Caenorhabditis elegans: one gene and its partners. The protein of the gene in region 3 interacts with the protein of the main gene of each other region in a pairwise test. Each region holds a gene or a part of one and is shown on either strand. Other genes may lie near its edges.

What was found.
Region 1: the proteins of eftu-2 (region 3) and rpl-19 interact in a two-hybrid assay, tested with the Caenorhabditis elegans proteins (one large-scale study listed by BioGRID).
Region 2: the proteins of eftu-2 (region 3) and tcc-1 interact in a two-hybrid assay, tested with the Caenorhabditis elegans proteins (one large-scale study listed by BioGRID).

The regions. Positions count from the first base shown.
Region 1 is NC_003279.8:5,482,901-5,489,017, forward strand, and holds rpl-19 (Large ribosomal subunit protein eL19), read right to left. Parts: upstream 2,843-6,117; 5' UTR 2,813-2,842; coding exon 2,808-2,812; intron 2,692-2,807; coding exon 2,481-2,691; intron 2,403-2,480; coding exon 2,152-2,402; intron 2,060-2,151; coding exon 1,930-2,059; 3' UTR 1,879-1,929; downstream 1-1,878. Other genes in the region: C09D4.4 (DUF676 domain-containing protein), read right to left, coding at 33-105, 158-374, 456-611, 659-800, 1,000-1,210, 1,260-1,344, 1,387-1,487, 1,534-1,613 and 1 more; C09D4.6 (Cytochrome b), read right to left, coding at 3,819-4,250; C09D4.9 (Protein AF-9), read right to left, coding at 4,558-4,590, 4,817-4,882, 5,036-5,104, 5,155-5,181, 5,229-5,258; C09D4.3 (Protein kinase domain-containing protein), read left to right, coding at 5,496-5,505, 5,681-5,742, 5,796-6,052.
Region 2 is NC_003283.11:17,852,002-17,859,567, forward strand, and holds the start of tcc-1 (Ribosome-binding protein 1), read right to left. Parts: upstream 3,989-7,566; 5' UTR 3,986-3,988; coding exon 3,866-3,985; intron 3,015-3,865; coding exon 2,458-3,014; intron 1,602-2,457; coding exon 1,002-1,601; intron 124-1,001; coding exon 1-123.
Region 3 is NC_003281.10:6,006,249-6,014,680, reverse strand, and holds eftu-2 (Tr-type G domain-containing protein), read right to left. Parts: upstream 5,122-8,432; 5' UTR 5,102-5,121; coding exon 4,474-5,101; intron 4,428-4,473; coding exon 4,053-4,427; intron 4,006-4,052; coding exon 2,952-4,005; intron 2,899-2,951; coding exon 2,328-2,898; intron 2,253-2,327; coding exon 1,956-2,252; 3' UTR 1,841-1,955; downstream 1-1,840. Other genes in the region: npp-10 (Nuclear pore complex protein Nup98), read left to right, coding at 1-195, 243-698, 749-908; gcna-1 (Germ cell nuclear acidic-1 protein), read left to right, coding at 5,698-5,756, 5,804-5,876, 5,923-6,186, 6,235-6,385, 6,434-6,713, 7,101-7,550, 7,806-8,127.

The DNA of each region.
Region 1 (6,117 bases), on a different chromosome or scaffold from region 3:
CAGCAAAAACAAAATTTTTATAAGAAACAGACCTGCCTATTGGCATTATTCAAATCTAACAATCCAACAGAATTTCGAGTAAAAACATCTTCAAAGATAATCGGGCTGAAATAATTTCTTGTTTTGTGAGAATATTTATAAAATCAATATTATTTACCAAAATTCTCCAGGACAATCAGTTTCTTCGCAGAAAATTGTGCAGCGTGGAAGCTTCCTCAAATAATCCACCTTGATAATAGATTTATAATGTTCGAGAACCGATACTGGTGTTCTTATTAAACATTTATCGATTGGTCGTTCATTTATCCAAAATGCCTCACGAAATACTGCACGACGTTGTTTATCGAAAATGAGAAGCAGTTGTTGATTGAGCTCTGAAAAAATCGATTCCGATTCCGTTCAAGTTTAAAAAAAAAGACAATTTCGGATTAAATTCTTACAGGAATTACACAAACCTTTTGATTTTCGAAAAAGAATCAACATTTGTTGATATATTAGGGTAATTTTAGTGCTCCATTCGCATACATCGGTCTCAACACATCTTGTCGGATGATCTGAGCTATCGAATTGTTGAAGAGCCGCTTTCATCTCTGTTTGTACATCCAGAACAACTGTAAAATAATGCTTTCGAATTAATTAACTTTTTTTTGTTTCATACCAACTGAAACCGATGCATTAATGAGCCGTGAATTATTGACGATGAACTGTTGAATAGATCGAGTTGCGAATAATAAAGCATGTGCAGATGAGTTATAAACTCGTCGGAGTTTTGTGCTTTTTGTAGATGATGCCTGTAATAACTGACGCAACAGTTTGATCAGATTTTTAAACATCAAGCTATTTTTTATATTTATTCAAGCAAAATTTTAAGATTTGATCGTTTTCCGTATTTGAGAACTGCTCAAAATTCAAAAAACACAACGAAAAACCTAGGTGTTTCTTTTTTCAAAATTTTCCAAAACATTCAAATTTTTTCGCAAAAAGCTCGAATATTCTTACCGATTCTGATGCATTTGCCTTCCGTTGCCGCGTGGCTACCATAACTAAACTACTAAAAACACTCATAGTTATCGCAGATAGGTAGGTACTGTCAAAATATAAAGAACGAGCGGCGGCGACGAGTCGTGTTGGATCCAGAGGAATTTCGACAATTCTTTTTGTGATTTTCACGAAGGATTCATATTGTGGAGGATGATAACGGTCCATGTATCTATATTAATTCATGATTTTATGTTTAATCAATTGTTGGACTGTCTTACAATAATTCAATTTCAATTTCTAATTTTTGAGGCTCACACAAGTTCAATGTCGAATTGAATTGCACCGAAATATGGAACCAATCATCTGAAAGTAAGATAAAAAAAGGTGTTTCGATGATTTTATTACCTAAATTGAATTTTTCATGTTGATAAGTTACTTCAACTGTTTTACTGACAGCCGCTCCTTGATAGACATGTGCTAAAAGAATATTACTCGATGTTTTAGGCCTGAAATTAGAGAATATTCCAGTGAACAAATCAATAATCGACGGACCCAGTATCCCGGTCCCCTTCCGTATCGTGTGATATGTCTACTGATCCAATTTCCGCTGTTTTTCGTGGCCTCAGTCGAATCTGAACTGAACGTAAGCGATGATTTGTGGTTTTTAAAAACCTGGTAATAACCCCGATCAGACAAGTCGACGTTGAAGAACTCGCATAATTGAATACTCACATTGAATACCTGGTGAGCTTCAATTCGCATTCTACTCGCTCCCGCCTGAAGAATTATTGATTCCAAGCTATTCAATCCCTAATTAGGGTTAACCCAAGTATCATGAGAGACTGAAAAATGTTACAGTGTTAGAAGGTTACCAAAACTGCAGAATAACAGATTATAAAGAGTTCAACAAATAACTTTATTGACATTATAGAGGAAAACAACAAAGTTTTACTTTCCAGCGATAACCTTCTCGCTCTGGGAAATTTTTCTGAGAAGCTCAGCACGCTTGACGACTTGTCTCTCCTCACGGCGCTTGCGGCTCTCCTTGTTCTTGTCACGTCTGGCTTGAGCTTGGTCACTGAAATCATCAGGAATTTTAATATGAATAATTGATTGAAAGACTTCTCAATAATTTGGAAAAACAAATCATTTAAAAATAGTAAAACTTACGCAAGTTGCTTGGCTCTCTTGTTCTCAGTCTTCTTCTTGAAGATGTACTCGATGAGATTCTTCTTGTTCTTGAAGTTGTTTCCCTTTGCGCGAAGGTAGAGCTCGTGGTAAAGGTGCTTGTCCAACTTCTTGGCATCTCTGTATCTTCTCAGAAGGTTTCTGAGGACACGCATGCGTCGGATCCAGAGGGTCTTTTCTGGCATACGAGCATTGGCAGTACCACGACGCTTTCCGTAACCGGTGTGACGTCCCTAAATTCCAAATATTTTTTTTTAACTTAAAATGTAACTTTTAAAAAATCGACAGCATCAATTAAAAGAAAAATGTACCTTTCTGCGGGCCTCCTCGTACTCGCGTGCGCGGAAGCGGGAGTGGACAGTGACTGGCTTGCGGATGATAAGTCCGTCATTGACGAGTCTGCGGATGCTTTGACGGGAGTTGGCTCCAGAAATCTCGCTGACCTCATTGGGGTCGAGCCAGACACGGTGCTTTCCGCACTTCAATACGGCCGAAGCCAAACGTTTCTGCAGACGGAGATTGCTGAAAAATCAATAATTAAAAATGCAAATTTTGCACAATTCTCAATTAAACGAAAGTCATATCTTCAAAAGACGCTTGGACTGATCTTTCAATTGGAAATGATTTAAAAAACTCACCTCATTTCGTCTTGCTACCCAGTATTTGGAGTTTCCTGTAAAAAATTAATATAAAGTACACAAATAAAGAAATTTTCACGAAAACAACAAAAATTAGCGACACCCTTCAGAGAATCAAAATTTTTGCTTAATGGAAATTTGAAAGCTATCATTTTCTAATTTTGTACATCAAAAATTAGGCAAAAAAATCATTCCAAGGCTTGAAAAATCGAAAAGAAGTTTAGGAATTGAAGAGAAAAACTGCTATTTCCTCGTTTCACTACGAGACCTGAGCGCGTCAAAGGCGCATGACTACGGTAACACTCGTTTCAGCTGTGTCGTTTTCTTTTCATCGCATCTTCAGCAAACAATTGTGTTGATATTTTGAATAAAATTTTCGGGGGTATTGCATATTTTATTGTTTCATATTTTTTGGACATTTATTTAACACATGTATTTTAGAGATTTCTCTTACAAAATCTGAAAAATTTAGTTAGTGGTATTTATAAGTTGTTGGTTAAAGACAATTGTTGATAAGTTCTTCAGAATTTGTTAAAAATCATAGGTATTAGATAAAAAGAAACTCACAATTTTAGTTCAACGCGATAGTCAGAACGAATGAAAGTATTCCGAATAGCACTATTTTGAGGTGTGTTTCAAAACATTGTGAAAAATTACGAAATTTTGAAACACAACAACTTTATTTTTCGATGCTTTATTTTATTGTGAGGAAGTTTCTCAAAATTTAGAATGATTAAGGTACGAGAGTTATCAATCCATATGCAAATTATCCACATGATCAATCCTTGGTTCTTCTCCCGGATCATCTGGACCGAAAATTTCCCAATAGTGTGCCATTAAAATGACATCAAACATTATTAAACAACTTGATGCTATTGAATACCAGAAAAAATCAAGGTGCGCCTGTGATAATATTTCAGACTACAGATTGTGAGGAAACCTACGAAACTGAAAGAGATACCACATAGCATAACTGTTTTGAAGGCTCTATCGTACGAAGGAGAAATTGCTCTATTCTGATTCCAGTAAAATGGGTCCGCCACCGAGAAAGTTGGGAATGTTCCTGGACCAATGTTTAAAAGATACCCGAAAAATGCAAAAAGTAGAAACGATACGATTTGGGTGATCTGAAATAGTAAAATCTAGGAAAAGGATTGAAATATCACGTACAGTGCTAGGGGCGATCCATACAATTCCAACAATTACAATAATGACAATTATCATTGAGAAATGTGTTAGAACCATTTGCAGAGCAAAACTTCTTGGACAAATTACATTTCCAAACGTTGATCTCGCGATTCGTTCAATATGTAAAAACATAAAAATTGTGAGAATTAAACTGAAAGTATACGACTCCATCGTCGAAATTCCAATATTTTTGAAAACTTTAAATGACCCGAATATCAAGTACATATATCCAGTGGCAAATGAAATAATAGGCATCGTGTGAAATTTTTTTGTAGAATTCAGCCAGAAGTGTCAGAAATTTTTAGAAAAAAAGCCAATACATCTTGAAACCCTAAAATTAGAAAGACATACTTATCGCTCCCTCTCAACGGGCATCGGGTAGTCGTAGAGATTCAGAAAGTGTCCAAGGAGATGTCAGAAAATTCAAAACTTGTCGTTGATCATTAATCTCGAGTGAAAAAAAAATAGAAAAACAAATTTGACTTCAAAACTATTTATTGAAATTAAAAATAATTTTAAAAAGTCAATCGGACAAATGTACGAAAAGATCTTCATGTTGGTTTTAACCTTTGTAGCTGAGATTCTCATACACATTCTGAAAGTAAAACATTATATTCCTGCGGATGGGTCTCGCCACGCGAAGTGTAATTTTGTGGGTATGCACCTTTAAGATTACTGTAGACAGAAGATAGTTTTTTTAAAATAAGTAACTGGAAATTTCCTGGAAATTTCCTACAGTAATCTTAAAGGAGCATACACGAAACATTTTGAAACATATATAGCGTATCCTACTAGTGAATCACAGTAAAATAAGAACCTACATCTTCTTTAGGCTTCGGAGGGTCTGCCCGGTGACTATTACTGCTCGACGACGATGGCTTCATGTTCTGAAAATTAAAAGTATTTCGGAAGCATGCCATTATCAAAATTTTGATTAAAAAAACTTCATTGAACTTCTGTTACGTGGCAACATTAGGCAAAGGTTCATTAGTGACCGTGAAAATGAAAACTCGGCCACTATTGAGGGGAAGAGGATTTACCTTAGACTTTTCTTGGTCTTCTCTATCCGATTTCGGCGTTGATTTTAAAGATGGTGCCGACGAAGATTTCTGAACAAAAATTGAGTTTTTTAGATATTTTTCTGAAACAAAACACATACAGAGACAGTTGGATTCGATGGTGTTTTCTGAAACAGAACAATAAAATGAACATTTCCAATATTAAAATTCTTACCGAAACTGTTCCACTCCACTTTTGTCCCATTATTTTCAGAAGAGAATCAATGCAAACAACAACGTCAAAAATTGTTTTCTCGGTAACGGAGAATGAATTCTAGAAGACTTAAAATAATAACATCTCACGTTTTTGTTTGTGACCCGCCCCCGTGTCACACTTGTTGGAATTTTTTTGGGCAGATGAACTTTGAAGATTAGGAAAAAAAATCAATACTGAATTTATCACACTCAGTTTTCGAAGGATTAAAGTTCTACTGTGATCATCATGGCGACTGGTAAGTCATTTTCAGCTGGAGATTTACGTTTTAGAAATCTCCTGGAATCTTCTAGAACTTTTGAGATGCGGATATTGGACTATTGTAAATATGAATTGTACTTTAAAGCATTCAAAATAGTCTATAGATTTACATTGGACATTTTCTAATCAATTCTTCAAATACTTATTTTCAGCGTTGGATCAAACCGACATGGTTCAAATTCCCAACACTCCAACATTGGTTGCCGAGGAAAATGTACGATCAAGCTTCCGATCTCTCTTCATCTTTAGAATATCAAATCATTTCAGTTGAACCACAAACGCTCTAAAGCAAATCTCGTGGTGGCTCAAGAGTCTGTCGCAATGGAGCACATCGCTGCTCATCAGCTTCCAGCTCCCGAGCCACGTCATCGTGGACCGGCGATTAAGGATAAGCCGGAGAGAAAGGATCGTCTTCCGACGGTTGGAGAATATTTTGAAAATGATAAAGGAGATCGTTTCATTTTGCGTCAGAAGCTGGGCGATGGTGCAATGGGACATGTTTTTCTGAGCATTTTTGGTGGCAGGTTTGTAGCTTATTTGGTTTTTTGCTCTTTCCAAATCGCGGCAACTTTAAAAGAAGTGCGTCACG
Region 2 (7,566 bases), on a different chromosome or scaffold from region 3:
ACTTGAAGCTCTGCCAATTTGCTCTTTTCGATGGAAATTTGCTCACGGAGTTGCTCAATTGTATCCAAATGAGCTTTTTCACGATGATTGAGCTCATTCACAATCACTTCTTGTTGCTTTTTGCTGCAAAATTACGAGAATTTGAGCGTTTTTCCTTGGATTTTTAGTTTTTTTTTAATTTAAAATTTGCCTTTTTTGCCTTTTTCCGGGTAAAAAATGATAATTTCTCAATATTTCACCTTTCCAGCTCAAAAAAAAATCGTTTTTGATCGAAAAAAAAAATGCATTTCAATTGAAATCCGTTGATTTTCCCAGAATTTACGGAAAAAATCGGGTTTTTCGTGGATTTTTGGTTAAAAAAAAAGTTTTTCAGGTGAAATTCTGCGATTTTTTCAATTTTATAGTGGAAAATCGCCAATTTTCCACAGAAATTTGGCCTTTTTTTTTGGCGAAATTTGAGAAAAATCCGGCCATTTTTGTCGATTTTCTTCGAGTTTTGGCTTTCAATGGAAATTTGAGTTTTTCTCGAGTTTTTTTAAAGCAAAATTAATCAATTTCCGACTGAAATTGCCCATTTTTGAGTGAAAAAACGAATTTTTTTGCAAAAAAGCACAATTTTATAGATTTTTAAGGGAAAATCAGCACTTTCCGTTAGAAATTACAAAATTTTCAAATTTTCAGCACTAAAATTGCCTGTTTCCTATAATCGAGTAGAATTTCGAGCTTTTTCTCACATTTTCTCCAAAATTGTCTCCTTTTCAGCAGTTTTTAGGTAAAAATCAGTGAAATATTGGTCAAAACGTGCATTTTTTTTTCAAATTATTCAGTTTTTTCATGACTTTGCTGCTCATTTTTGACCGATTCTAGACCAAAAATAGGGTGGAAAAACTCGAAATTTTCGGTTTTTCAGCGCAAAAATTGCCTGTTTTCTCGATTTTAACATAAATTTCCGTTTTTCTGAAAATTTTCAGATTTTCCTCGAAAATTGTTCATCTACTCACTATTCGTGAAACTCTGAAATATCTCGATTGAGCTCCCCGATAAGTGCCTCCAATCGCGTATAATTCTCAATCATCTGAGCTTTTTCCATCGTCCATTTCTGAGCTTCTCCGTCTTGATCTCGAGCTTTTGCCACTGAAAGAGCAGCTTCCAACTCTAAATTGTGTTGTTTCAATGTTTGATTGTGTGTGCTCAATTGAATCCATTCTTTTCCTTGCTTTTCAAGTTCAGCTTCAACATTTTCAACAGCTGCCGCCAGCTTCAAATGTGTCTGTTTTGCGTGCTCTTTTTCCGAAATAAGCTTCTCCTTTTCTTGCTCCAACTGCTCATGTAGCTTCTTCCATTCTTCTTGTTTCTTCTGTAACTGAGCTTCATGTTCCTTTCGAATCGTCTTCAGCTCTGTTGAAAAACTCGAATTCGTGCTTCTCAACAGCTTCAGCTCTTTCTCATGCTCTTCATTATTTTTGACAGCTTTTCCTGCGGCAACAAGTTCTTGCTCTTTCACACGAAGTTTTCCTTCAATTCCCTGAATTTGACGAGCCAATTCTGATTCGTGAGCCTGATTTTGAGCCACTTTTTGCAAGAGTTGTTGGCGTTGAGCTCTGAAAAACAGGAGAAAATTCGGATTTTAGGCTCAAAAGTGCAATTTTTTGGGTTTTTTCACATTTTTAGAGCTTTTTTTGGCGTTGAGCACTGAAAAATTGCAGGTTTTTAGAGAGATTTTAAGCGGAAAATTGAAAATTTTTCCAGCAATTTCAGCGTTTTTTTAGCCGATTTTTAAGACCAAAAGTTGAATTTTTTGCTGGAATTTGTAATTTTTGGCGAATTTCTTAAAATTCACCGTTTTTTGAAAGGAATGCCTGCTCGGACTCTTTGAGCTCAATTTTAAGAAGTTTTTAGGGATTTTTCACAAATTTGGAGCATTTTTTTGCGTAAAACTGTCGGTTCTCAGCCCGATTTTCAAGACAGAAAAGTTAAATTTTTGAATAAATTAGGGTTTTTACCGTTGTACAACAATTTAGGCTGAAAATAGTAATTTTTAAAACAAAATTCTACAATTTTCACGGCCAAAATGTCGTTTTTCAGCTGTTTGCTAACGAAAAATCGTCGAAAAGTCAAATTTCGGCGGGAAATTGGAAATTTTCAATCGATTTTGCCTAATTTCCGTCAAAATTGACTAAATTATGGTGCATTTCGACTGAGAAAACGATTTTTCATCAAATTTTGGAGAAAATTGCCTCTTTTTTTGTCAGAAATGCGTGGTCAGCAATTTTAGTTCAGAATTTTTAAATTTCGGACGAAAAAATATCATTCTTGGCCCAATTTTCATGAAATTTCGTGATTTTTCCACGTTTTCCATCGAAATTCTTGAATTTTCGCACAAAATTATCATTTTTAGACCAATTTTCATCAATTTTCACGATTTTTCTCAATTTTCCGCGTAAAAAATCGACATACTGCTCGTGTTTCTCGCGTTGTTCCACAGCCATCTTTTCTTTATTCAATTTCTCAATTTTCACAGCAGATTCCGTCATCTTCTTGTTCAAAGCCTTAACTTCCAGACTCAAATTATTCTTCTGAGCATCAGAATCACGGAATGCTCCAGCCAAGAATTGAATATAAGCTTCATCGAGTTCTGGGAGTCCGGAGAGCTTGTTGAGCACCTTTTTCTGATCCAAATCCTTCAAATTCACCGATTTTCGCTCTTTTGGAGACGATTTTTGAGTTGTTGGAGCTGCTGGAGCTGGAATTGGAGCAGAAGCCTGAGTAGATTCCACTTTTTGGACTTGAATTTCCGGTTTTTCTGGAATTGGAGCAGCAGAAGCTTTTGGTGATGGTTGTTGCTGAGCCGTTGGAGTTGGAGCATTTGGAGCAGCTGGAGCAGCTGAAGCCGGAGCTGGAGCGGCATCTTGTGCTTTTTTGCCCGTTTGCTGTTGCTTCTTTGTCTTATTTTTTGGCTGTTTCTTCTTCTCGTTGTTGTCAGTCAAAAGAGCCAATGCGTCGCGGTTGTAAGCCTGAAAATTTGAAAAATTTATAGATTTTTACAGTTTTTTTTTTGACTGAAAATGCCAATTTTCAGCACACAAAAATCCTTCTTTTTGGAGAAATTCCTTGGAATATTTGTTTTTTTTTTTTGAAAATATAATCGTATTTTATTCAGAATTTCCCCCAAAAAACGACATTTTTGTGCCTAAATTCCCATTTTTTAAACCAATTTTTATCAGGAAAACCGAATTTCAGCGAAGATTTCATCGAAAAAAACAAAAAGACGATTTTTGTGTTGAAATTTTAAATTTACACCTGAAAATTGGCATTTTTGGCCTGAATTTGTTCATTTTTGCCTTAAAAAACCGAAAGAAGCCAATTTTGAACCGAAAACCTTCTTTTTTTGGGAAAACTTCGATAAAAATCCAATTTTTGATAGGAAAATTGTTTTTTTTAAGTGAAAAAGAGCAATTTTGCTCATTTCAAGTCAAAATTCTCGGAAAAAATATCGAATTCCTCGTTAAAAATCGTCTTTTTTAGAATAAAAGTTTGCTGAAAATGCCGTTTTTCTGATAAAAATTAATTTTTTTCAACAATTTTCAGGCACAAAAAGGTATTTTTCGCAGATTTTCAGTCAATTTGATGAGAAAATCCGAGGAAAATTGCCTTTTCAGTCAGAATTCTCTGAAAAATATCCACTTTTCTCGTAAAAATTTAGTTTTCCTGGTTTTTTCGCGGGGAAAAAAAAGTTTTAGGCCAATTTTAGGTCAAGGAAAATCCGGTTGTTAAGCGAAAAAAGTCGATAATCTCTTGAAATTTCACTCTTCTGATCAGAATTCGTGTGAAAAATCTCAATTTTTCCACGAAAATCGTTCCGAACCTTGTCAAAATTATCCTCTTGTCGATTCATGAATATCATATAATAAATTGCAAACACAAATACACCAACACCACCGAGAATGCCGAGAGCTGTTGATGGATCGACGAATGACGAGTCCATTGGCTGAAATTATTTAGCATTTTTAGAAATTTTATAGAAAAAAGTGGGAAAATGGAGAAATTATCGAAATTCGGAATTTTTAATCGAAAAAATCGAGTTTTTGAGTAAAAAATCTCTATGAAAACGTGTAAAATTCGAAATTTTCGAAAAAAATGGCACTTTTTCAGTGTAAAACCCTGAAAAATCGATTTTATTTCGAAAATATCAAATTTCCCACATTTTCATAGAGATTTTTTACTCAAAAACTCGTTTTTTTCGATTAAAAATTCCGAATTTCGAGCTATTTTCAATGGATTTCTCGTTTTTAGTGGAATTTTCTATGTTTCTTCTCTGAAAATTATCGATATTTCAGCTTTAAAATATCTGAAAAGTTGAAAAATGACTCCTGTGTCGATTTACGCGGCTCTTGTGTACTCCTCGTGGAGAAGAGTTACAATTTTAGTAAAAATATCCAAAAATGCCGCATTTTTACTATAACTGTACAAATCTTCTCTTCTCCTCGAGAAGTACACAAGAGCTGCGTAAATCGACAAAGGAGTCATTTTTCAACTTTTCACATATTTTTAAAGCTGAATATCGATAATTTCCAAGAAAAAATATGGGATTTAATGTGAAAAATTGAGTTTTCAATAGAAAATTCCACTAAAATACCTCGAAATTTGAATTTTTTAATAAAAAAAAATCGAGTTTTTGAGTAGAAAATTCCACTACAACCGAGAAATTTCTTCGCTGAGATGCCAGTTTTTCGGGAAAATCCATTTCAAAGTTGAAAATTCTTCCAAAAAAAAAAAAGTGGCATTTCGAGCACTTTTCTTTACTTTCGGGGACGGCAACTGAGAATTTCACACAGAGATCGGCAAAGTTGAAATGGTGGTGATAAAAATGACAATAATAATTGCATTTCCGTTGGGGTAAAGACAATTGCGCGGGCCGCGGTGGAGACAACTTTTATATTAAAAAAAAAGTTTTCGCAGCCCGCGCGCGGGGAACGACAAAGTACACCCGAAATTCCGAAATATCGAGGTCAAATAGAAAATCATCAAGAGAGGGGGTGTATCCCTGTGTTAATCAATGAAAAACTTTGATACTTGAGAAACCTAATAGGAAGAGAAATTGTAGGCTTTTTGTCGTTTAGGAACACACTTCTGTAGGCCCACGTGGTCCCCAGGTTGTCCCATTACGGTTTGATCTACAAAAAATGCGGGAATTTTTTGCCCAACAAAAAATGTGACGTCAGCACGTTCTTAACCATGCAAAATCGGTTGAAAACTCGCGTCTCAAACTCTCCCGCATTTTTGTGTAGATCAAACCGAAATGGGCAGCCTGGCACCCCTGGTGTGTAGGCCTTGAACGTAGGCCTACCTGCCTGTCTTTGAGGCGACCGACTCCGCCTGACTCTCGCCTCAATACGTGTTACGTGTAATTTGATTTTTTAACAAATTGATAGAAATGAGAAAATTTGAAAACTCATGTCAAAATGCAGCAAAGAGGCGAAAGGCAGGCAGATTTCAGGCAGGCATCATTCTCTGAAGCCTTGCCTGCCTACCGGCGGTGTCAGTGGGAATTTTGCTTTGAAACACTCGAAAAAATAGACTAAAACAGTCAGTAAATTCGAAAATTTCAGGTAAAATCCAGTTTTTTTTTTCCATAAGATTAATTTTCTAGGAAAAAAAATTTGGTTTTACCGACCAAAAAAATCCCAAAACTGGGCAACATTAAAGTCAGTTAGAAACCCTGGTTAGGCACCAATTTTCAGAGAAACCTGGCCCAAAACCGGTCGATTTCCTCGATTTTCAGTTCAAAAAACTAAATTTCTTGGAACAAAATCTCAAAATACGGACGTCAAAGCTTCAAAAATTCCAGATCGCTGCTGGAAAAGCTGGAAAAAAGTGGGCGGCGGCGGAAATGCGAAATTCGAGGAATTTCGGGATCTGCTGCAAAGGAGAAGAAACCCCCCAAAAAAAGTACGGGAAATACCGCAGAGACACAGAGAAACAGGGGGCACTGCAGCCACGTCCTCTCATCCCTCCCGATGCTTCTGGACATTCCCTATTGCTCTGTCTGGTGACTCTCCACTCCACGTACACTATCTATTCGTGGGCAGCGCCAATGACAGGCGCTGGGCGCCAACGAGAGATCACGGGAAGCCACAGAGACTCAGAGAACGGACAGAGTGTCTGGTGTCTCTTGTGTCTTCAGTGTGCAAGTGTCTGCGTCTTTTGTGAAGAAGAAGAAGAAGAACTGCAAACGAAATTAGTTGCTCCGTGCGTGTTGGAGCTCCGTCTGGCTTTACGTCTTCATGTTTATTTGTTTATTCAGAAGCGTTTAATGAGCAAATACTCGGGCTCCATAGAGCGTTTTACTGAAATTCTGACCTTTTTTCAGCTGATTTTCGAATTTTCTGATGAAACCGGGCTCCGTGGAGCTCCTTTTGGGCTTATTTCTGGATTTTCAAAGCGGGAAATTTCAAAACTTCGAAAAAACATTGGAAAATGTGGGAATTTTTGAGAAAATCCCCGGAAAAATGTGCCAAATCGGAAGAAACTACTTCGAAAATATGAAAATCGAGTTTTTGTGCTCATTTCTGGTTTTCAGAGCAGATTTCACAGATAAATCGGAGAAACTTGAGAAAATGCCCGGAAAACCTTGAACTTTTGCGAAAATGGGCGAATTTTCGAGAAATCGCCGAAAAAAGTGCCAAATCGGAAGGAAAAGCTTCAAAATGCCAATAATCGAGCGAAAATTCAGTTAAAGTCGCTGGAAAATCCTAAAATCTGCTGAAACAACTGAAAAATCATTAAAAATAGCAGGATTTTCTCAAAAACCAATGAAAAACGCTGAAAATTGGAGAAAAATCTCTAAAAATCGACAAAATCGTGCAAATTCGAAGGAAAACGCTGGCACATCGACAGAAATCCAAGAAATTGCGAGAAAATTGCAAAAACCTCAGAAAAAACCTTAAAATCTGGAAAAAAGGTGGCAATTTCGAAAAAATCGCTGAAAATACAGCTTGAATTATCTGAAAATCCGGCAAAAAATCCAATGGAAAGCTGAAAAAACCGGGAATTTCCTGCAATTCCGGCGTATTTTTGCCAAAAACTGTTCCAAATAGAAGGAAAAACGACGAAAAAAGTGAAAAACGAGCGAATTGAGTGCGAAAATGACCTTGAAATGATGAGAAAACCGAACGAATTAGGCGAAATTCGCGCTCACCCGGCTGTGTGTAGGTCAATAACAGAATTTCGTGGGAAAATGCGATTTTTCGCGCGGAAAACGAGGAATTTCGTCAGATTTCATCATTTTCACGGGAATTTGACATGTTTTTGATGGGAAAAAGGCGCGAAAAATGTTTTGAATAAGAAAATGGTGAAAATTCTTTTTTGGATTTCCCGCCAACTTTAGGCAAAAACTTGATTTTTAGGATTAAATATGCGAATTTTAACCCAAAAATATCGAAAAAAAAACCGATTAAAAACTCGCTTTTAGCAGTGAAAAACGTCAAAATTCACTCCAAAAATGAAGAAATGATTACAAAATTTAAAGGCGCATTGAATTTCGAGAACAGCTGGGTCTCACCACGA
Region 3 (8,432 bases):
CTGTGCAGCTGGAGAAAATCCCAACGATTATTTCCTTCAATGGCACGTATGGAGCTTGCTCTATTCGGTTGGATACCGTACAATGTCAAAGACTTCGGAAACAAGACTTCACAGAAACTATTCATCTCAATTGGAAGCATCAAGTCTCTCAAAATATGCATTGTTTGTTTTGCAGCACATTGATGATGATGAAGAGTGAGTTGAATTTTAGAATCTTTCAATTTATAAATATATTTATCCAGAAGATCAACAGCAGTTCGTTCCCTCCTCGACCGTATTGCTCGTTTCACCGACAATGATATGTTTGATTCTATTTCCGAACAGTTCGATATTCCTTCGGAATGGATTGCTGATGCTCAATTCTCAATTGCAAAGTCAGTCGATGATTCTACCCAACTTTTCGAATTGGCTGTGGCTGCAAAGAACTATCTGGAAATTTGTCGCTTATTTGTGGATGATATTGCACCAACTGCAGTTGTAGCTGGAGATCATGACGCTCTCAAAGCAGCATGCGCGATGGTTCGTCCTTTCGAAAATCAGATTCCCGAGTGGGGTGCGACTGGAATGGTCTACACTGATTATTGCCGATTGATCAATTTGATCGAAAATGATGCGGAAGAAGAACTCTTACAGGACGTGCTTGAAAGTCTGGAAACTCGTCTACATGCTCCTACAATCAGCAAGAACAGTCTTCAAAAGTAAGCTATTGGGACATAAGTTTTTTTTAAAACTATTTATATAATTTCAGGCTCTCTCTTCAAACAATTGGACGTGTTTTGTTCGAGTACCGTGCTGATAAGAATACACTTCCAGAGTGGACAAAGCTTCTCGGACATCGGCAAATGTTTAAGATCTTCCGTGATCGTTCGTCTTGGGGAATCGAAAGATTCACAATTGAATTTGACTAGACTAGCCACTTTTTAATTTATTCATTTTTCACCTGATTCTAATTTTATTTTTTTTATTTACATTTTCCTGCCCTCTCCGTCTGTCTTCCTCGTATATCATCATTTCCCGAATCGTCTTTTTATTACTATGAATATGAACTTTTTGTAGGATGTTATTACTGTTGTGTTCTATTCACATGAGAAAACTAGTACAGAAATTTAGAAATCAGCAAAACGATAAATTGAGTACTCGAATTTAATTTAAAATTCAATTTCCGACCACGCGATGATGTTAATCTAGTACATCTTGATAAAAGTTGCTAAATAAATGGAAAGTTTTCTTGAATAATTCAGTCTGGCGGATTTAGCCAGTAGGAATGATCGTTTCTTAATTGGAGTGGTTCGCTTCGTTTTACGAGGTAGAGCAATTCGGGAGGCCCCACGAAAAGGGGAGCAGAACGAAAAGGGGATCTGCAAAAAGGGGATCTGCGAAAAGGGGAGATACGAAAAGGGGAGCAACGAAAAGGGGATCTGGCACTGTGCCAAACGCTATTTTCCTCGAAGAAAACGATACAACGATGCTCCGATGTTACGCGTCGCGTGTTGTTAAGCGTATCTTCTAGAAGAAAATTTCAAAAATCAACGTGCGCTGCGTGAGAAAAATTGCGTTTTGTGCGTTTGGCACAGTGCCAGCTCCCCTTTTCGTTGCTCCCCTTTTCGCAGATCCCCTTTTTGCAGATCCCCTTTTCGTTCTGCTCCCCTTTTCGTGGGGCCTCCAATTCGGTTATAGCTTATGCTTAGACTTAAAATTAAGCGTAGGCTTATGTTGATCTTCAGTTTTTTTTTTTTCAAAAAAGTTGTCCAAGAGTAATACCTTCAACGGACATTCAGCTTGTTTGACGAAACTAAGAGAATTCAATTTTGGTCCCTGCTCTGAATATCATTTGATAGATAGATAAACAAGAATTTTCATTTTACTATTGTGATCAAACAACTCAATGAAACGGGAAAGAACACTGAAAGATAAAAAGTGTGAAACAATGAGAAAATAAGTTAGGAAATCGCAATTTAGAATCCAGTATAATCTTGCTGCTTTGCAAGTTCGAGAAGCATCGGATCATCGAAGAACTTGTTAACGGAGACATCTTCAGACAAACCCTTGCGTCTTCTGGTCTTGATCATGAACTCTCTGGCGAGATGTGGAGTTGGCTGGACGTCGAGAGTCTTGATAACAATGGATTTATCGAGTGGATCTCCTGGTACGAGTTGCCAATGATGGAAAGCAGACATACAGAATGCTTGTCCCTGTGTGTGAATTCGAAGATCAGTTTCGAATCCGAACGAGTCCATTACTGGAATGTACGCCTGAAAATCATAATTTTAGAATATCATAAAACTATTTTAATGTGTGTTCTCTTTTAACATTATATTTAAACTCACGCTGATAGTGTACATAGGTGATCCTGGCATTGGTGCATCAGTGGTGACGTGACCACGTCGTTTAGCTAACACTGTATATACAGCAGCTACACAATCAGCTGGTGCAACAACTTCCACTGTATAGTATGGCTCCATTAATCTTGGCGTGGCCATAAGGAATGCAGAATAGGCACATCGGCGTGCAGTTGGGATCATCTGACCTCCACCTCGATAAAGTGGTTCTGTGGCGATTGCGGCATCGAGAAGTTTGAACTTCACTTGACGAATTGGTTCCTCACACAATGGGCCTTCTCTGGTTGCCCATTGGAATCCTTGAACAAGAGATTCTCTGACAGTTGATAGCAAGTGTTTGTCAACTTCCGATGGCAATGTGTCATCTAGAAGAATGTTGGGTCCTGTAGTATCAGGGCCAAATGCCCAAATTGAACGAGCTGCCAAAAGATCCCAGTTGTACTTGGTCTGGAAGAACTCTCCAAGACGCCGTCTATTCCATCCGATTTGAACAACTTCATTTTCGATGTCCTCATCCAACTGTTTTTCTAGAGGTTCAGCCATCATTGTGATTTTATTTCTGAAAAAATTGATTAAAAATTATTGTTTTGAAAAAATTGAATGAAAACCCACTTTTTGTTGGGAGTCTCTGCAAAACATTTCAGCGTACTCGTTTCGATGACAGTCTCGTTGAATGTGACAACTGGATCAGCAACTTTGATATCAATCTCTGAGAACACCTTTCGCATGTCGTGCATCACACAGTCCATATAAAATTCTCCAGTTCCGAGCAACACGTGCTCTCCGGATTCTTCAACTCTAGTCGTCAGCAACGGATATGACTTGTTGACTTTTCTCAAGCCATCCAACATTTTCGGGAGTTCGGATGGATTAATCGGCTCTACGGCAAGTTTCACGCAACTGCGAGTGTTGAATTTGAGAGGACGGAAAATGTAGACATCTTCCTCGTATCCCAACTCAGCAATGGTTGCAGTTTTAACAATTGGCTGATCAATTCCTTCAATAAGTACCCAGCAACCTGCAGGAACACGAGAAACTTCAATCTGATAACTGGCAACACGCACAAATAGTCTTCCAACTGTCATTCTTCGGCAATCTTCTTCATCTTGAATACTGTAGTTCTCTCCAAGTACACGGACGTCTGTATTTGCTTCCAATGTTCCGCTCATAACACGTCCAAATACATGGAACTGAGTTGCATCATCTACGGGATAATTCTTTGTTGTATGAACCATCAATGGTCCTTCAGCATTACATTTCTGCATTTCTTGAGCCAATTGGGAATCAGCTGGTCCAAGATATGTCTGCTCGATTTTAGTTTTCGCATTTTCAAGTGGTGATTTGATATTTTGAACCACCAAATCAACAAATGCACTGAAATCTCCAAAGAAGCGTTTACAGATGAGAGCAATCAATGGACGGACATTCATTTTCTGTTCTTCTTTTGACAAACGAATTCCCAACTCAGCCATCACATCAGGAAGGCAAGTATCGACATCTCCGACGACTTGCGAAAAGATCTTGTACATTGGCTCGAGAATGAACTGCACAAATGTACGTGGAGCATCATGGGACGGCGACTTCTTTACGAATTTGCGAGTTTTCTTCTCGAAGTAAATATCTCCCCAGAGACGGCGAGCAAACTCCTTTGAGTTGAAGGAGTCACCTGGAAAATAAAAATCGTGCAAGACATTAATTTCGTAAGCTTCTTACCATGTTGTTTCGCATAGATATTCGAAAAAGACAATAGAGAAAAGCAGACATTGTATCGTCCCGATGAAAAAATAACGTTGCCGTTAAGTGGAGAGAGTACTGGAACGTCTTCTTCGGCAAAAGTGCTCAATATATTATTGACTTGATCAATGATAAGACGGAGTTTGAAGTAAGCATCTGCTGGTGGAAGCTTCAACTCAAGAAGCAAGCGGTCGATCTTCGAAATGCACAATGTTACTGCAAGCCTCTCTTGAATCGCGTGGCGAATTGCTCGTTCAGTGTTCATCATAACACCTTCATGAGCATCAACCATCACAACAACTCCATCAGCAAGACGGTATGAAGCAGTCATTTCGTCCGAAAAGTTCACGTGACCTAAAATAATATATTTTGTACGAATGAACCACTATAGTTTAGGTACCTGGAGTATCAATTATATTGAGCAAATAGCTTTTGCTTCGACTATCCTGAGCCACAATGCTCACTGGCTGAGATTTAATCGAGCATCCTCTCTGCTTCTCAATGAACAAGATATCAGTAAATCGAGCATCTGCGTCTTCAGCTCTGTAGAACTCTGGATGAGTTTGTTCCATAAGACAATCCAAGAAAGTCGTCTTTCCGTGATGAAGATGACCAGCGATTGCAACATTTCTCATGATATGAGGGCAGTCCATTAAATCAGCTAAATATTCTTTCTTGTAGACAGTTTCCGGGAGAAAACGCTCAGCGGCTTGAAACTTCTTCTTGGATACTGGTTTGACAATTGGTTCAGTGAGTGGCTGAGCGTCTTCCTCTTGGACCAAGGTTTCTACACCTTCCCCGTATACTTCGAGAGCTGTAGCATAGTACTTTTTATCTTCATGAAGAACAACTTGATTCTGGGGAATTTCTTCTGCGTCATCTTCTTCCATTCTGTCTGGTTCATCATCCTCATCCACATCGCTACGATCTTCATCATCACCATTGTCATCAATATCTCCGGCATCATCGTCAGAGTCTAGCTCTGGACCGATATAGTTACCAAACTCATCGTAGAGATCCGAATCCATCGCTCGAGACGTTCAGTTCTGAATAATTAATTCGGTTATGAAAGACTTTCAAAGTAAAAAAGAAGAAATATACAGAGAAGTGAGTATTTGCCTAAAACAAAGAGTCCCAATGAGAATATAGAGCAAATATAAGAGCCAAGATTCAAAAGCAAAAAATACAAATCAAGAAGTAACTATGAACACACATTTTGCGCTTGGAAATATGCTAAAATGTGGTTTAAGATATTTTTTCAGCTTAAGAATTCGTTTTCGAAAATCGCTCCCCGACGTTTGCAGTGGAGCGCAGTTGTGGTACTTTCTACAGTAATCCACATTTCCAGAACAGCTCAATTATTCTTGGAAAATCGGTCAATTCTTGCAAATGTTTTTACGAAAAATTGAAAAATAATTAAAATATCATTTTTCTACTCAAAAAAAACGACTTGCTCGAGCAAGTCGAGCAAGTCGCGCTCCAAATAAACCTTGTTCAAAGTTTTGCTCGTCATTTCTGGCAACAAATACGCAATTGCACCAACGGCGCTTAATTTGCCGCCAATCAAAAATTTCAAAGATTAAAATTATTTTTCTCGTATTCTGCAAATCTTCTGTATTCCTCAATGCCTACACCATTTCGAGATCTTCATAACAAAAGTAATGCTTCAGCGTCATCGTACGAGTAAGTTTTTTGGAAGGATTTTAAGATTGTAGGAACATTTTTTGCAGAACAGCATGGAGTTCCAGCTTCAGCAGTCGAAGATCAACTAATAATGATAGCAAATCCAACTTAAAAGAAATTGCAAGCAGTAAAATTCATATATGATGAGCTAATTCTAAAATTTCAGAAAGATGAGCCAATATCAAATCTCGACGAAAGCATTTCAATTCTAGAAAATAATATATCCATGATGTCAGTTAGCTCTCCAACACCAGCCTATAGAACGCCTGCAAGAGTCATTGCAAGAGAAGCTCCAATGACTCCTGGTGATAGATTACTTCAGAAAATTGAAAAAGAAGATGAGAGAGATATGCTTCGACAGTTATATCCGGAAATGTTTGATTCCAACCAGAAACCACGTCAGAAACCAAAAGAAGTCAAAAAAGCATTGGTAATGTTCATATTTGAAATCTGAATATTTTAAAATTCAAAAGTTCAGAAAGTGGAGTCATTGTCAGATTATGAGAATGATGACAAGGAAAATGTTCCTCCGTGTGGAAAACCTTCGAAGGAAAAAGAAGAAAAGAAACAACGAACAAAGAAAATAGTTATTTCATCCGATTCAGAAGATGATGGAAACTTTGAAAACTGTAAACGATGCTCCAAAAAATATTCCGTTTTAATTTTAATTTTTTTAGATCTCAAAACTCTCCGAGAAAAGCCAACGGAGCCAGCTAAACCAGAGAGAAAAATTCCAGTTAAAAAAGATTTTGTAGTTGATGATGATTATATAAGCGAAGAAAGTTCAGAAGAAGAATCTGAAGAAGAGGAAGAAGATGTCGACGATGAAGAATATCGAGAATCAAGTCCAGAAGTTGAAGCGAAGATTAGCTATTCTGATAGAAAACAGAAGAAGCGACCAACTGACGAAGAAGAATGGTTTCTTCTGTCATTGAGTGAGAAGTTCTCAGGACCAATGTAAGATAATTTTTGAGAAATCGAAAATCGAAAATGCTCATTTTCCAATATTTCAATTTCTCTAAATAACGTCAAATTGTGGCGAATTTCCTTTTTTTTTGAAAAAAAATCATGCTTTTTTATCATCAAGATTAACCAACTTAAATCGATTAAAAATGAATTTTTTGTTTTCTAAACATTTTTTCCCATTTCAGTTTTCCGGAAAAGCTAAAAAATTTCCTTTAACGATATAAGATTTTTAGATTTTAGATTTTTCTGAAAAAAAAATCGAACAAATTTTTAGGACACCCTTGCTCTCGATAATTTTCCTACAAGTTTTGCAGAATAAAAATTAATTTTATAAAAAATATAATATAGAGATTAGTTGCTTAAAAAATATTTTTCCAGACACGAAGATGCCAAGGTGTATATCAAGGAAACATCTCTACGTTATAAAAAGCATCGCGAATCCCTTCTCACACGTCTTCAAGACATCCTGGTTCGCCGAATCTTTTCAGCAATTCCATCGGAAAAGCTGAAAGTCATATGGAACGCACGCCTTCGAAAATCAGCTGGCCAATGCAGAAATCATTCAAATGGAAACAGCACTGTCGAAATGTCACCAGTAGTATGTACAACTGCTGAACGAGTACGAGATACACTGATCCATGAACTGTGTCATGCAGCAACATGGGTGGTCGACAGGCTTCATAAAGAAGGTCATGGCCCAGGATGGAAGAGATGGGGAGCTCGATGCTCTTCGGTGTTCAAGTCACTTCCATTTATTGAAAGATGTCATAGTTATGAGATTGAGGCAAAGTTCTTCTATGTTTGTGAGAAAGATGGATGTGATGTAGAGTAAGTTTTTTAATTTATCTAGATATATCTGATAATTCATTAAAAAATAATTTTCGAAAATAATACGTCCAAAAAATAATATAATTTAAAATTTACCTTATTTTTCGGGATTTTGAACTGTCACAAAAATTTATTAATAGTCACAGTCTTATCGACTAGAATTTATAGGAGAGTCTTATAGGGAAGCAAAACACCAGAACCGTCAATCTGATAAATTTCCAATTTCCAATACATAAAAATATAATTTTTCTCCAGAATAAAGCGTCAATCGAAATCTCTCGACACCTCACGAAAAGCGTGCGGAAGATGTTTTGGCAGATTCATTCTCTACCGTTATTGCCGCCGAACGAATACTCGAATCCGTATTGAAGATCCTAAAGCCAAGCCGGTTGGTCCAATTCTTTCCAATTCCTCAAAGCCATCTCCACCAGCTCCTCGTCGTATTGTCAGTGAGCATCCAGAAGGCTTCAAGGAATATTCTGAAGAACACTATTGGAAATACACTGCACAAGGACTAAAACATTCGGATGTGATGGGGAAATTACTAAAAGAATTCAAGGAGCTCAAACAATTATAAATTATTGCTATCATTTATCCGTGCCATGTGCCATTTATCAAAATTTAGTTTGAATTAATCTACGTCAGATTTCTGGATCTTATCGAAAGATTCCCGATTGTGATCAAAGTATTTGATTTTTTCAGAATTTCTTTGTGTTCTTTCTTCAAATCAAATTCATCTCCAAGAGATTTAATTTGATTAATACTCAATAAATATATATTTATTTCACCTCCTATTTTTCGAAAAATATTATAAATAGCTCATACTTGACAGGGGGGGATTGAAAAAGAGGCTAAGATTGGAGGAAAAATAATAATTAACTT